3 linked regions of the Oryctolagus cuniculus genome follow. The protein of the gene in region 1 purifies or fractionates together with the protein of each later gene. This does not show direct contact. Links are inferred from orthologs where the notes say so. Each region holds a gene or a part of one and is shown in the gene's direction. Other genes may lie near its edges.

Region 1 (3,646 bases):
GAACAGTTACATCTTGATCAGTGCGAGTCAGGTAACTAGTACAGCACAGAAGGTGCACAGGCTGGAGAAGTGGATTTGGTAAAAGAAGTCAGATTGTAACTGGGCCTAGAAGGGTAAATAGGACTTTTTTTTAGATTGAGCTATTTTTAAAGGATTTATTTAATTATCTATTTGAAAGGCAGAACATCAGGGAGAAAGATCTTCCATCCACTGGTTCACTCCCCAGATGCCTGCCACAAGGCTGGGCCAGGCTGAAGCCAGGAGCCTGGAACCCATTTGGGTCTCCCACTTGAGCTATAGGGGCCCAAACCCATAGGGCCACATCCACTAAGCTGGATTAGAGTGGAATAGCTGGGGCTTGAACTGGCACTTGATATACTGATACTGCAAGCAGAAAGCATAACCCAGTGGACCACAATACCAGCCCCAGGAATAAGTAGGCTTTTTTTTTTTTTTTTTTAATTTATTTATTTGGAAGTCAGAGAGGCAGAAAGAGAGAGTAAGGTCTTCCATCTGCTGGTTCACTCCCCAAATGGCCACAATGGTTAGTTGGAGCTGAGCTGATCCGAAGCCAGGTGCCTGGAGCCTGGAGCTTCTTCTGGGTCTTCCACATGGATGCAGGGCAACAAGGACTAAGGCCATCTTCCGCTGCCTTCCCAGGTACATTAGCAGGGAGCTGAACTGGAAATGGAGCAGCCAGGATTCAACCCGGCACCCATATGGGATACTGGCACTGTAGGTGGTGGCTTTACCCACTACACCGCAGCACCAGCCCCATAAGTAGGCTTTAAGTAGGAAGAGACAAACTTTTCAAGTATGGGAACAGAATGAGAGAAGGTGGAGGGGACCATGGAGTGGGCAGAGGACTGTCAACAGACCAGAGCAAGTAGAGCACCTGTGTGATGGAGAGGGACGGAGCAGGAGCCAGGTTACCACTTCCCCACCATGCCTCTCTTTCCTCCTGTGCCTATAGGTCAAGGATGACTCCAGGGCCCTGACTTTAGGGGCACTGACCCTGCCTCTGGCTCGCCTACTGACTGCCCCTGAACTCACGCTGGACCAGTGGTTCCAGCTCAGTGGCTCTGGCCTGAACTCCAGGATCTACATGAAACTGGTCATGAGGGTATGGAAATGCAGATACAGTGAGGGTGGGGGAAAGGCCCCTTGGGTTCCTTGGGATTAACTGGAAGGAGGGACAGCCCTCCAAGGTGAAATGAGCTAGTGTGTGTAGAAGCACCTAACAGACATGCGACAGTGTTCACTCGTCTGACTGCAGGAAGGAATGTGAGTGAGTCAGGGCGGGTGTGAGGGAACCTTCGAGAGTCTGGCCAAGGCAAGGGCCTGGCTTCCCTGTCAGAGCCTCTGCTCTGCTCCCAGCCCCGCCCGCCCTGCCTGCTAGTGGCTAGCTGCATTCCTTTGATTCCAAGACCGCACTACCCTTCCCAGATCTTATACTTGGATTCATCACAAATCTGCTTCCCCGCTGGGCCTGGCGCTCCTGGCTCTCAGGATGCAGACAGTGAGAGCCCCCAGACAGGCAGCAGTGTGGACACCCCCACTCGGCCCTGCCACACTACTCCCGACAGTCACTTTGGGACGGAGGTGAGTATCTGGAATGGACCGGGCCTGGTTCATGGTCCTGAGGTCTCTCTCTCCCTCTGACCACCATCTGGTGCCCCATCTGTCCCTTTCACAGAATGTGCTTCGGATCCACGTGTTGGAGGCCCAGGACCTGATCCCCAAAGACCGTTTCTTGGGAGGACTGGTGAAGGGCAAGTCTGATCCCTACGTCAAACTAAAGCTGGCGGGCCGAAGCTTCCGGAGCCGTGTCGTTCGGGAAGATCTCAATCCCCGCTGGAATGAAGTTTTTGAGGTCTGAATTCAGGGGCTGGCACTCCTCTCAGGTCGGCCCATTTTCCCCCAGTTTCACAAGTGGTCCAAACACCTGTGGGGTTCCATGAACTGGGGGTCTGGTCACTGGGAGAGAAGGCAAGATGCCCCTTTTCCTCCCACTAGGTGATTGTCACATCGATTCCAGGCCAAGAGCTAGACGTTGAGGTCTTTGACAAGGACTTGGACAAGGATGACTTCCTGGGCAGGTGAGAAGACGGGCAGGCCTGCGGAGGCCATGGAGGCCGCTGGCCTTGGGGAGAGAAACGTTTGGTTCTGTTGTAACTGATTTTCCTCTGCAGGTGTAAAGTGAGTCTCACCACAGTCCTCAACACTGGCTTCCTTGACGAGGTGAGCAGCTATTCCTCTGATGTCCATCCAGGCCTCTTGCTCCTAGCTCCCCTGTCCCACACCCCGAACCTTCACCTGCCCACTTCCACAGTGGCTGACCCTGGAGGACGTCCCGTCCGGCCGCCTGCACTTGCGCCTGGAGCGTCTCACCCCCCGCCCCACTGCTGCTGAGTTGGAGGAGGTGAGGAAGGAGACTGGAGGGAGGAAGAGAGGGAGCCGAAGTGGGCCAGGGTGAGCTCCTCACTCAGCTCGAGGCACACACCAGGCCCCACTCCCCAGCCTCCCGCCGTGTCCTGCCCAGGTGTTGCAGGTGAACAGCTTGATACAGACTCAGAAGAGCGGCGAGCTGGCAGCAGCCCTGCTGTCTGTGTACCTGGAGCGGGCGGAGGACCTGCCGGTGAGATCTTCCCCAGGCCCACATCTCCCTGGCCCTTCTTCTACCTCCCTTGGGTTTGGGAGCTCCTGGTGGGTTTGGAATAGTACACAGCCCCTCTCTTTCTGAGGTGGAGGTGGAGCTGGTGTGGGAAGAATTGTCTGTCCAAGGCCACAAGAGGAGTGGCTATCCAGTGATGATGGGGCCGTGGCCATTTGTGAAGGGAGATCCGCCTAGCAAGGTCCAAGTTTGACGACTAACACCATGTTCCTTTCCCAGCTCCGAAAAGGGACGAAGCCTCCCAGCCCTTATGCTACCCTCACTGTGGGAGACGTTTCTCATAAAACCAAGGTAGCAGGGGATGCTGCAGGGCGAGTGGGAAGGCTAGGGAAGAAGGGGGAGAGTACCCACCGCTGATCCTAACCCCTTCCCACCAGACCGTGGCCCAGACTGCAGCTCCTGTTTGGGACGAGACTGCCTCCTTCCTCATCAAGAAGCCACATGCCGAGAGCCTGGAGTTGCAGGTACCCCCCTTTCCAAGTACGTCCTCTATCCCTGCCGTGGGCAAGGCCCTGAACCAGACACGGGGCATCGGGAGAGAAGACCGGCACTCAGCTCTAGGGAGCTCACACTGTGTTTTGGGAGGAAGGTAACCAGAGATCACTCTCAGAACGACAGATACAGTGAAAGGCACTGTGGCAGCAAAGGAAAGGGTCTAACAGACCTTAGAAACCTGGAAGTAGTAAGAAAGGCATCCTTGGGTGCTCTCTGGACTTTAAAGCCAGTAGGCTCTGACCAAGAAGAGAAGGACAGAAAAACTTCAGTCTAGGAACAGAATGGACTAGTGTGGTGGTGCAGTGGGTTAAAGCCACTGCTTGTGATACTCACATTCTAAATCTGAGTTCCAATTTGGGTGCTGGTTCCTCCATGTTTTTTGCTTGTTTGTTTGTTTGGATTTTTATTTATTTATTTATTTGAGAGGTAGAGTTACAGACAGTGATAGAGAGATGTGTTCCATCTGCTGGTTCATTC
Region 2 (4,426 bases), on another chromosome or scaffold:
ATGGTGGACTGACCTTGTCATCAAGATCTATACTTTCTGCACACCTCAAGGGCACAGAACCATAAACAAAAAGACTAATTTAGTGTCACTTCTGCCAGTGGCCAATGGTCCCCAATATCCATTCTCCCATTTTTAGTTAATAATAACAACCCTAATTTTTTTTTAGTTAGCACATTTCCATCCCACTAAAACATGGCATATTCTATGTCTCTCTCATAGTTAAATATAATCATGTAATAGGCTTCTATTCAAGGAGATACAAGAAATATATGAAACTTCCAATAGGTTCTCTTTGCCATTTCATTCCCTTCTTGAAATGTGAATATGAAGGCTGAAGTTCCAAAAACCATCGTAACCATCTTGGGCCATGAAGTAAAGGCCACACTCTAAGGATGAGAACTGAAGGGGTTATAGAAAGATGAAAGGAATCTGATTCCTTGGTGACTGAGGAGCTCCTCTATTAGCCTTTGACCATCCATCTCTAGTTCTTTACTGTGAATGAAGTACACTTCCATCTTAGCCTAATACATATAGAATTAAGTGTGTATCACTGCTCTAATCTTCCATCCTTAGCCTATTTTTCCCAGTAGCATCAATTTGTAGACTTTGCCCCACTCTCTATTCCTTAAATTTGAATGTTTATGTATATATATATATATCTTCCTTTTAAAAAATAAAAGATTTATTTATTTGAAAGGCAGAGTTACACAGAGAGAGTGAGAGGTCTTCCATCCGCTGGTTCACTGCCCAAATGTCCACAACAGCCAGAGCTGGGCCAATCCAAAGCCTGGAGCCAGTAGCTTCTTCCAGGTCTCCCACACAGGTGCAGTACCACTGGGTACTGCTTTCCCAGGCCACACCAGAGAGCTGGAACTTGAAGTAATGCCCATATAGAATGAGGACACTGCAGGCGGCCACTTTACCCATCAGGACACAGCACCAGCCCCTTAAATTTCTTAAAATTAAATAAGGCTTTTGTCAGCAACAATCCAGGAATCTTTTACTTAAGGTCCTGGGAACCATCTCTTCCCAATGTTAATATCAGGGAAAACAGTGCTCCTATCTCCTCTTACTATGGAAGTTAACCCAAGTGGTTTACACTAATCTTTACGCAACAGCTTGTCATACAGAGAGCAAAGTATTACTTTTCCTTTGCTAACCTGTATTAACTAACACAGAAGGCCACCCCAAAGGTGAACCATCAGAGAGTGGATAACAAATGGTGTTGTCAAGTCCTCTATGTAAGGACAAGCATGTTATGGTTTGTACCTACTTGGCTTATACGAGATTTTTCATTTTGGCAATCTCATCAATGGATTGCCTGTAACGTCCATCCCAGTCTAGTTTGATGCTCACAGAATAACAAAATTTTCTTTTCTATATTTGTGGAAATTTTGAGATGCCAAGATTCCTTTTAGATTTTTCCTCAGCAATATCAATTTCTTTACGTCCACTACCTTAACTAGCCTCCCTCCACCCCAACCTTACTTTTCCCAAGTACTTTCGCCGGTCAATAACTTGCGGCTTGCTGACCTCACAGTTTTCTCGGAACACTCAACGAGAGAACACAACCGATCGGCTGTGAGAACCACGACTCCCAGCATTCCGAGCGCTCTGAGCGCGGCGCACTTCCTCTTCCGGCCCGGAGGCTGCGCGAACCGGAAGTGCTGTTCTTAGACCGCAGCGCGGAGATTGATTCACCTTCACCTGGGCAGAGCCCCAGCTGAACCGAATAGGAGCGGTAAAACATGAACGGAAGAGTGGATTACTTAATCACCGAGGAAGAAATCAATCTTACTAGAGGACCCTCAGGTATGTGCGGAGCGGGCTGTCTTTGGGAGTAGGGGACTTGAGGTGTGCCTTTGCAGAGCAGACCCTCTTTTTGTTGCGCCGGATTCACCTGGCCTCAGAGTAGGCAGGCCCCAACGTAGGAGGTTAGGAATGTTGAAAGAATATATTGATATCCATCATTGGCTAGATGACGGGTCGGATTACAACACGTATTTCTAATCTGGAAAGATTTCTTTTTGCTCATGGTGCTAGAGAAGCCTAGAATAAAACCCGCTGTTTAGCCAGCATTCCGTGGACACACTCTTCCTTCTATTACCTGGTCTCTCCTTGTTCCTTGGAGGATCGTTTAGCCAAATTGGGAACGTAAACTATGTGACCGCTATATTCAAAAAGCTGTACCTATGGAATTTGTATTTATTAAATAAAACGATTCTTAAAAAAACAAAAAAAAACAATGTGAACTCTAAATAAATGCACAGATGTTCTGGTGCCAGGATTCCTTCCTCATTTCTGAGAAATTAGTATATAGTGTCAACTAGACTGTTAAAGCAGGAAGACGCTTTAGAGATCTGTTACAGGAGTTTCCAAACTTGGTTCTGCTACAAAACTATCCAGGCTTTGTTTTTGTTTTTGCTTTTTTATGCTAGTATAAAATTAGAATGCTGATTTCTAGTTCTCATTTCTAGAGATTTGGATTCAATACGAATTTGTTTTTAACAACTTACATGATTCTGATACAGTCAGATCCTTACACCTTCTGTACTCCCCCCTCCCCCAGATATTCCTTCCCTAGACTGAGCTGTTGACATTGCTACTCACTGCCTGCCTTGGACTTGGTTGGCTTTTTTTTTTTTAGCAGTTGTTGAGTTTATTAAGAGCTTTAACCATGGAATTGTACTATCTAGGCACAAAGCTTGTTATCTAACCGCTTACTGGTTCTTTGGTGTATTTTTTTCCACTGAGTGACATTGGTGCCTTAGTTGCTCATCTGTTAATTGGAGGTGATTATAGAATACAATATATAGTTTTTGAGAATGAAATTAATTAATTGATAAAACATCTAAATATATTTGTAAAATAATTAGAGCATTGTCTGACACACAGTAAGCAGTATGTATTTGCTACTACTGTTATTTTTATTGGGTGAATGGCTAGATTTGCATGGTAAATGTTATTGAAAAAGACCCTGTAGAAATCATAAGCCCCATGTGCTCCATCTAAAAATGTTTCTAAAATCCTTTTTTCTGTTCCCAGTGCCACTATCTATAATAGTTAATCACTTTTCTCATCTGGAATTTTGCAGTAGCTTAATCACCACTGACAGATTATCCTTTATAAAATATGACTTGCAGAACTACCTATATTTTGTGTCTTTCTTTTTGTTATATAAAATTGGAAGCTGGTCTTATGGAAATATAATTAAGCAGAGTAACTAAGCCCCTTGGATTCTTTCTTCCTATTTTATAAAATTTTTTTATTTCTCTTACTCAATACTTACCGACTTTAAAGCTAATATGGAAAGCTAGTTTTCAACCAGAATCTGTTTTTCTGTACCTTTCTGCCACTGGTAATTGTTTTTCATATAAGGCTAATTAAAACTGTGCTAGTTCCTTTTCTGATTGCCCTGCACTTATTTTCCCTTGCTTCTACTTTGCCTGGTCTTCCTTTAGCCTAAATATCTTGTTGTAACATTACTTTTTGTGATATTTGAGTTTGGGTTCTTGATTCTTGCTTAAGAATTTAATGTACTTGGCAGTGACATCTGCATCATTTCTAGAATCTCCCAACTAGAGCTGAGCAGAATCTTATTCTGGGCACTAAATAATTTAAATTCAGTATAATATCACTAAATCATTTTTGGCATTTGCAAAGCAGTGTTGCCTAATATTTAGTTCACCATTCACCACAACTTCTGAGTCTGTTTGTCTTGCAGATATAAAGTTCCTAGTGTTTGTATTTTTCAGAAGCATTGGAGTTAGGGCAAACTTCATGGGATTAATTAAAAGAAATTCTATCTAGCTAATATATTGCAACCAAAAGTGGATTAGTTTTTGTATTGTATGTGAGTTTATCCACAGGGTGGTTTCTTGAATTTTCCTAAACATTTTCATGTCTTAGTCACAGAGCCAGGGAACTTATGAGGAGGGTCAAACCACAACTTTAGGATTGAATATGGATAAAAACAGTTATTTGCAATTTGGTTTGTTCTATTAGCAAGGAAAGGTTTCAAGTTCCTATTTATTTCTAGAATTGGTATACTGGTATGTGATACTCTTGGTCTCAGATCTAATTCAGCTTTTCTTCATAGTGTTGTCATGAAGATAAACCACGAAGAAGTCAATAATCATCGTTAGAGTCCTCTATGTAATTTTTGTAATTCCATCGGGATCTTTCTTTCTATAGGAAGAATATGAAAAGTCTCTAACTACGTATACATTTTTTACAGTGAGCAGCATGGTTATTTGTCTTTATACAGCTTCCTACCCTAAGACCTCATCATTTAATGAAGGTAACTACAAGAAAGTGTGTACTGCTCTGCTTTTGTGCCAGTGATCTGGGATATTTCCACTGTTTATGCCCATTTTGCAAGGCAAATTAATCTGTTCCATCTAATCCTCCTTACTACAAGGAAAAT
Region 3 (3,646 bases), on another chromosome or scaffold:
CCAAATGTCAGTTCCTTTAGTAGCAAAGCATTTTCACACAGGAGACGAGTGCCTGGGACTCACATTTCAAAGACGAAAATGTTCCTTTTTTTTTTTTTTTTTTTTTTTTTTTTTGATTCACAGCTATTTCTTACATTTAAAACCAGAGACAAGGAAATGCTATTTCCCTAGATTTTTAGAGGTTTATCCTGTGTTAACGAGTCTTACATATTAAAGAACAGATTTTAATTTGGTTGAAAATCTGGCAGAAAAGATATATTTTGTTTCATAAATTGAGCTATGTGAAAGTCTAAAAAGTAGCAGAAGGTTAACGAGAAAGGAAGAATGGAAGTGGGGTGAGAGATTTGTACTTGGGTATTTGTGGAGCATGTTCAAAGAGGAAGGGTTTATAGCTCACGCCTTCCTTTCCTAACAGGCCACTGCTGAAGCCAACAACTTAGCGGCGGCAGCCGCTGCCAAGGACGTGTATTACAACAACATGGAAGAGGTATGTGGGCAGGTGCCTGATCCTGAGGTGTCGCGATACCTGACCATGCGGCTGTCTTCCGAGGCCCAAACTTGATCTGACTTGACACTGCAGGGGGGCTGGTATTGTGGCACAGCGGGTTAAACCATCACTTGTGATGCCTGTTCGAGTCCAAGCTGCTTGGCTTCCAATCCAGCTGCTTGCTAATGCACCCAGGAAAGCAGCGGAAGATGCCCCAAGTACTTGGGCGCCTGCACCCACATGGGAGACCTGGATGGAGTTCTGGGTTCCTGGCTTTGGCCTTGCCCCAGCCCTGGCTCTTGCATTCATCTGGGGGAGTGAACCAGCAGATGAAAGAGCACTCTCTCTCTCTCTCTGTCTTTTCTCTCTCTCTAACTCTGCCTGTCAAATAAATAAATAAATAAGTATATATTTTTATTTGACAGGTAGAGTTGCAGACAGAGGGAGAGACAGAGAGAAAGGTCTTCCTTCTGTTGGTTCACCCCCCAAATGGCCGCTATAGCCGGTGTGTTGCACTGATCCGAAGCCAGGAGCCAGGTGCTTCCTCCTGGTCTCCCATACAGGTGCGGGGGCCCAAGCACTTGGGCCATCCTCCACTGCCTTTCCAGGCCACAGCAGAGAGCTGGGCTGGAAGAGGAGCAACCGACACTAGAACCCGGGGCCCATATGGGATGCCGGCGCTGCAGGCGGAGGATTAACCAAGTGAGCCACGGCGCTAAAAAAATAATTTTTTAAAAAAGTTATGAGGCAGCAAAGCTGTATTCAGGCCATTGTGATAACCAGGTCCTTCTGATCACCATTTCGTTTCTTTTTTTTAAAAATATATGTGTTTTACTTATTCTTTTTTATTTAAGGTATACAGGTTACATGTATTTGGTGTACACCAGTTTAGGAGTGTGGTGATGCTTCCCACGCTCCCACCCTTCCTCCTCCTTCCTCTCCTCATCCTCCTCTTTAATTTTTACAGTGATCTACTTTGAGTTTATTTTACACTCATGAGATTAACCCTACACTAAGTAAAGAGTTCAAGAAATAATAATAATTAAAAAAACACTGTTCAGGGCTGTAAACAGTCATCGAAGCTCAAAACGTCGATTTCACTCTTCTGATGGTCATTTCTTTCCGTTTCCGGGCCACGCTGAGCTCCTCACTCTGCTTACCCAAGTGCGCTCTGCAGAGGAGTGAGACCAGACTTCACTGGTCTCCGTCACCTTCTGAGAGTTAACTGACGCTTGCCGCAGCAGCTCAGTTGTGAGTGTGTCACCCACCTTTCCTAGCAGAGTGCTGGCTGGAGTGCTGGCTGCTCTGCTCCCATCCAGCTTCCTGCTGCTGTGCCCCTGGGAGGCAGCAGGTGGATGGCCCGAGTGCCTGGGTCCCTGCCACCCACATGGGAGACCTGGTTGGACAGTTCTGGGCTCCTGGCTTCAGTCTGGCCCAGCCCTGTTTGTCGTGAGCATTTGGGAGTGAACCAGAGAAGAAAGATCTCTCTTTGTCTTTCAAACAAAATGAAAATAAACAGTGAAAAAGTTTTTTTTTTTTTTTTTTTTTAAGATGTATTCATTTATTTGAAAGAGTTACAGAGAGGCAGAGGCAGAGAGAGGAGCTGGGCCGATCCGAAGCCAGGAACCAGGAGCCTCTTCTAGGTCTCCCACGTGGATGCAGGGGCCCAAGTACGTGGGCCACCTTCTACTGCTTTCCCAGGCCACAGCAGAGAGCTGGATGGGAAGTGGAGCAGCTGGGACTTGAACTGGTGCCTAATGGGATGCCGGCACTGCAGGCAGCAGCTTTACCTGCTACGCCACAGTGCCGGCCCCGAAGTGAACACAGTGATAAGAGATTAACGTCTGATACTTAAAGCCTTGTAACCTTTGAGAGTCTTCACCTGTTTTTGAAGGGACCTTCGCCATGCCGTGTCTCTGTTGCCTGCAGGTTTGTGGGGGCGAGAAGCCTTACCTGTCCCCTGACATTCTAGAGGAGAAGCACAGTGAGTTCAGACAGCTCGCTCTGGACCACTTCAGGAAGACCAAGAAGATGGGCGGGAAGGACTTCAGCCTGCGCTACCAGCAGGAGCTGGAGGAGGAGATCGGGGAGCTGTACGGCAGCTTCTGCAGGCACAACAGCAGCAAGAACGTCTTCAGCACCTTCCGCACGCCCGCCGTGCTCTTCGCGGGCATCGTGGCCCTCTACATCGCCTCGGGCCTCACCGGCTTCGTGGGCCTCGAGGTCGTGGCCCAGCTGTTCAACTGCATGGTCGGGCTGCTGCTGATAGCGCTGCTCACCTGGGGCTACATCCGGTACTCCGGCCAGTACCGCGAGCTGGGCGGAGCTATCGATGTGGGTGCGGCCTATGTGTTGGAGCAGGTGAGTGGTGTGGGGTGATGGTGGGCGGCCGGGTCAGCTTCTGTCGTGAAACATCTCGGAGTTTGGTAGCAAAGAGGGCATGAGAAACCTCCCTGGGCCGTTTTTAAACTTCCTTGGCTTTAGTCTGTTATCCTCTTTGGGATAGGAGTAGTTATTCCTGATGTTTTGTTTCCATGACTTAAAGTGGGCCTTTAGTATATAAAAAGTTTCAAATTAGAGTAGGGTGTCCCTCACAGGAAACCTATGGGTGCTTTTTTTTTTTTTTTAAAGATTTATGTATTTATTTGAAAGTCACAGTTACACAGAGAGAAAAGGACAGGCAGAGAGAGAGAGGCCTTCCATCCGCTGGTTCACTCCTCAGATGGCCACTATGGCCAGAGCTGGGCCAGTCTGAAGCCAGGAGCCAGGAGCTTCTTCCAGGTCTCCCACGCAGGTTCAGGGGCCCAAGCACTTGGACCATCTTCCACTGCTTTCCCAGGCCACAGCAGAGAGCTGGATCGGAAGTGGAGCAGCCAGGACTTGAACCGGCACCCAAATGGGATGCAGGCACTGCAGGCAGCGGCTTTACCTGCCACGCTACAGTGCTGGCCCTGTGCGTGCTCTTTAGACACAATTCCTGTGTGATTCGGCCTTCTCCTCTCCATGATCTTGCTTTGCTGAAAATCAAGAGTCCTGAAAAAAATATGAACTCAACAAGAGATGACATCTCCTTCATTTAAAATCTTCCAACAAGTCAGCGGCTCTTTGCAGAGGTCGTCTCCAGCTTTACAGATCTTTGAGACTAGCTCGTGTCTTTCT

The links.
Region 2: the proteins of ESYT1 (region 1) and SYNJ2BP purify together in Homo sapiens (affinity purification with mass spectrometry; 4 studies listed by BioGRID and IntAct, with this or other methods). This does not show direct contact. The link is inferred for Oryctolagus cuniculus from reciprocal best matches to the Homo sapiens genes ESYT1 and SYNJ2BP.
Region 3: the proteins of ESYT1 (region 1) and ATL3 purify together in Homo sapiens (affinity purification with mass spectrometry; 3 studies listed by BioGRID and IntAct, with this or other methods). This does not show direct contact. The link is inferred for Oryctolagus cuniculus from reciprocal best matches to the Homo sapiens genes ESYT1 and ATL3.

What each region holds. Positions count from the first base shown.
Region 1 is NC_091442.1:58,936,562-58,940,207, forward strand, and holds part of ESYT1 (extended synaptotagmin-1), read left to right. Parts: intron 1-442; exon of another isoform or gene 443-681; intron 682-973; coding exon 974-1,123; intron 1,124-1,446; coding exon 1,447-1,602; intron 1,603-1,696; coding exon 1,697-1,873; intron 1,874-2,016; coding exon 2,017-2,099; intron 2,100-2,192; coding exon 2,193-2,241; intron 2,242-2,332; coding exon 2,333-2,422; intron 2,423-2,542; coding exon 2,543-2,638; intron 2,639-2,893; coding exon 2,894-2,965; intron 2,966-3,051; coding exon 3,052-3,138; intron 3,139-3,646. UniProt on the Homo sapiens protein: Binds calcium (via the C2 domains) and translocates to sites of contact between the endoplasmic reticulum and the cell membrane in response to increased cytosolic calcium levels.
Region 2 is NC_091451.1:16,186,462-16,190,887, reverse strand, and holds the start of SYNJ2BP (synaptojanin-2-binding protein), read left to right. Parts: upstream 1-1,625; 5' UTR 1,626-1,748; coding exon 1,749-1,812; intron 1,813-4,426. UniProt on the Homo sapiens protein: Regulates endocytosis of activin type 2 receptor kinases through the Ral/RALBP1-dependent pathway and may be involved in suppression of activin-induced signal transduction.
Region 3 is NC_091432.1:7,549,400-7,553,045, forward strand, and holds part of ATL3 (atlastin-3), read left to right. Parts: intron 1-415; coding exon 416-487; intron 488-2,416; coding exon 2,417-2,848; intron 2,849-3,646. UniProt on the Homo sapiens protein: Atlastin-3 (ATL3) is a membrane-anchored GTPase that mediates the GTP-dependent fusion of endoplasmic reticulum (ER) membranes, maintaining the continuous ER network. It facilitates the formation of three-way junctions where ER tubules intersect.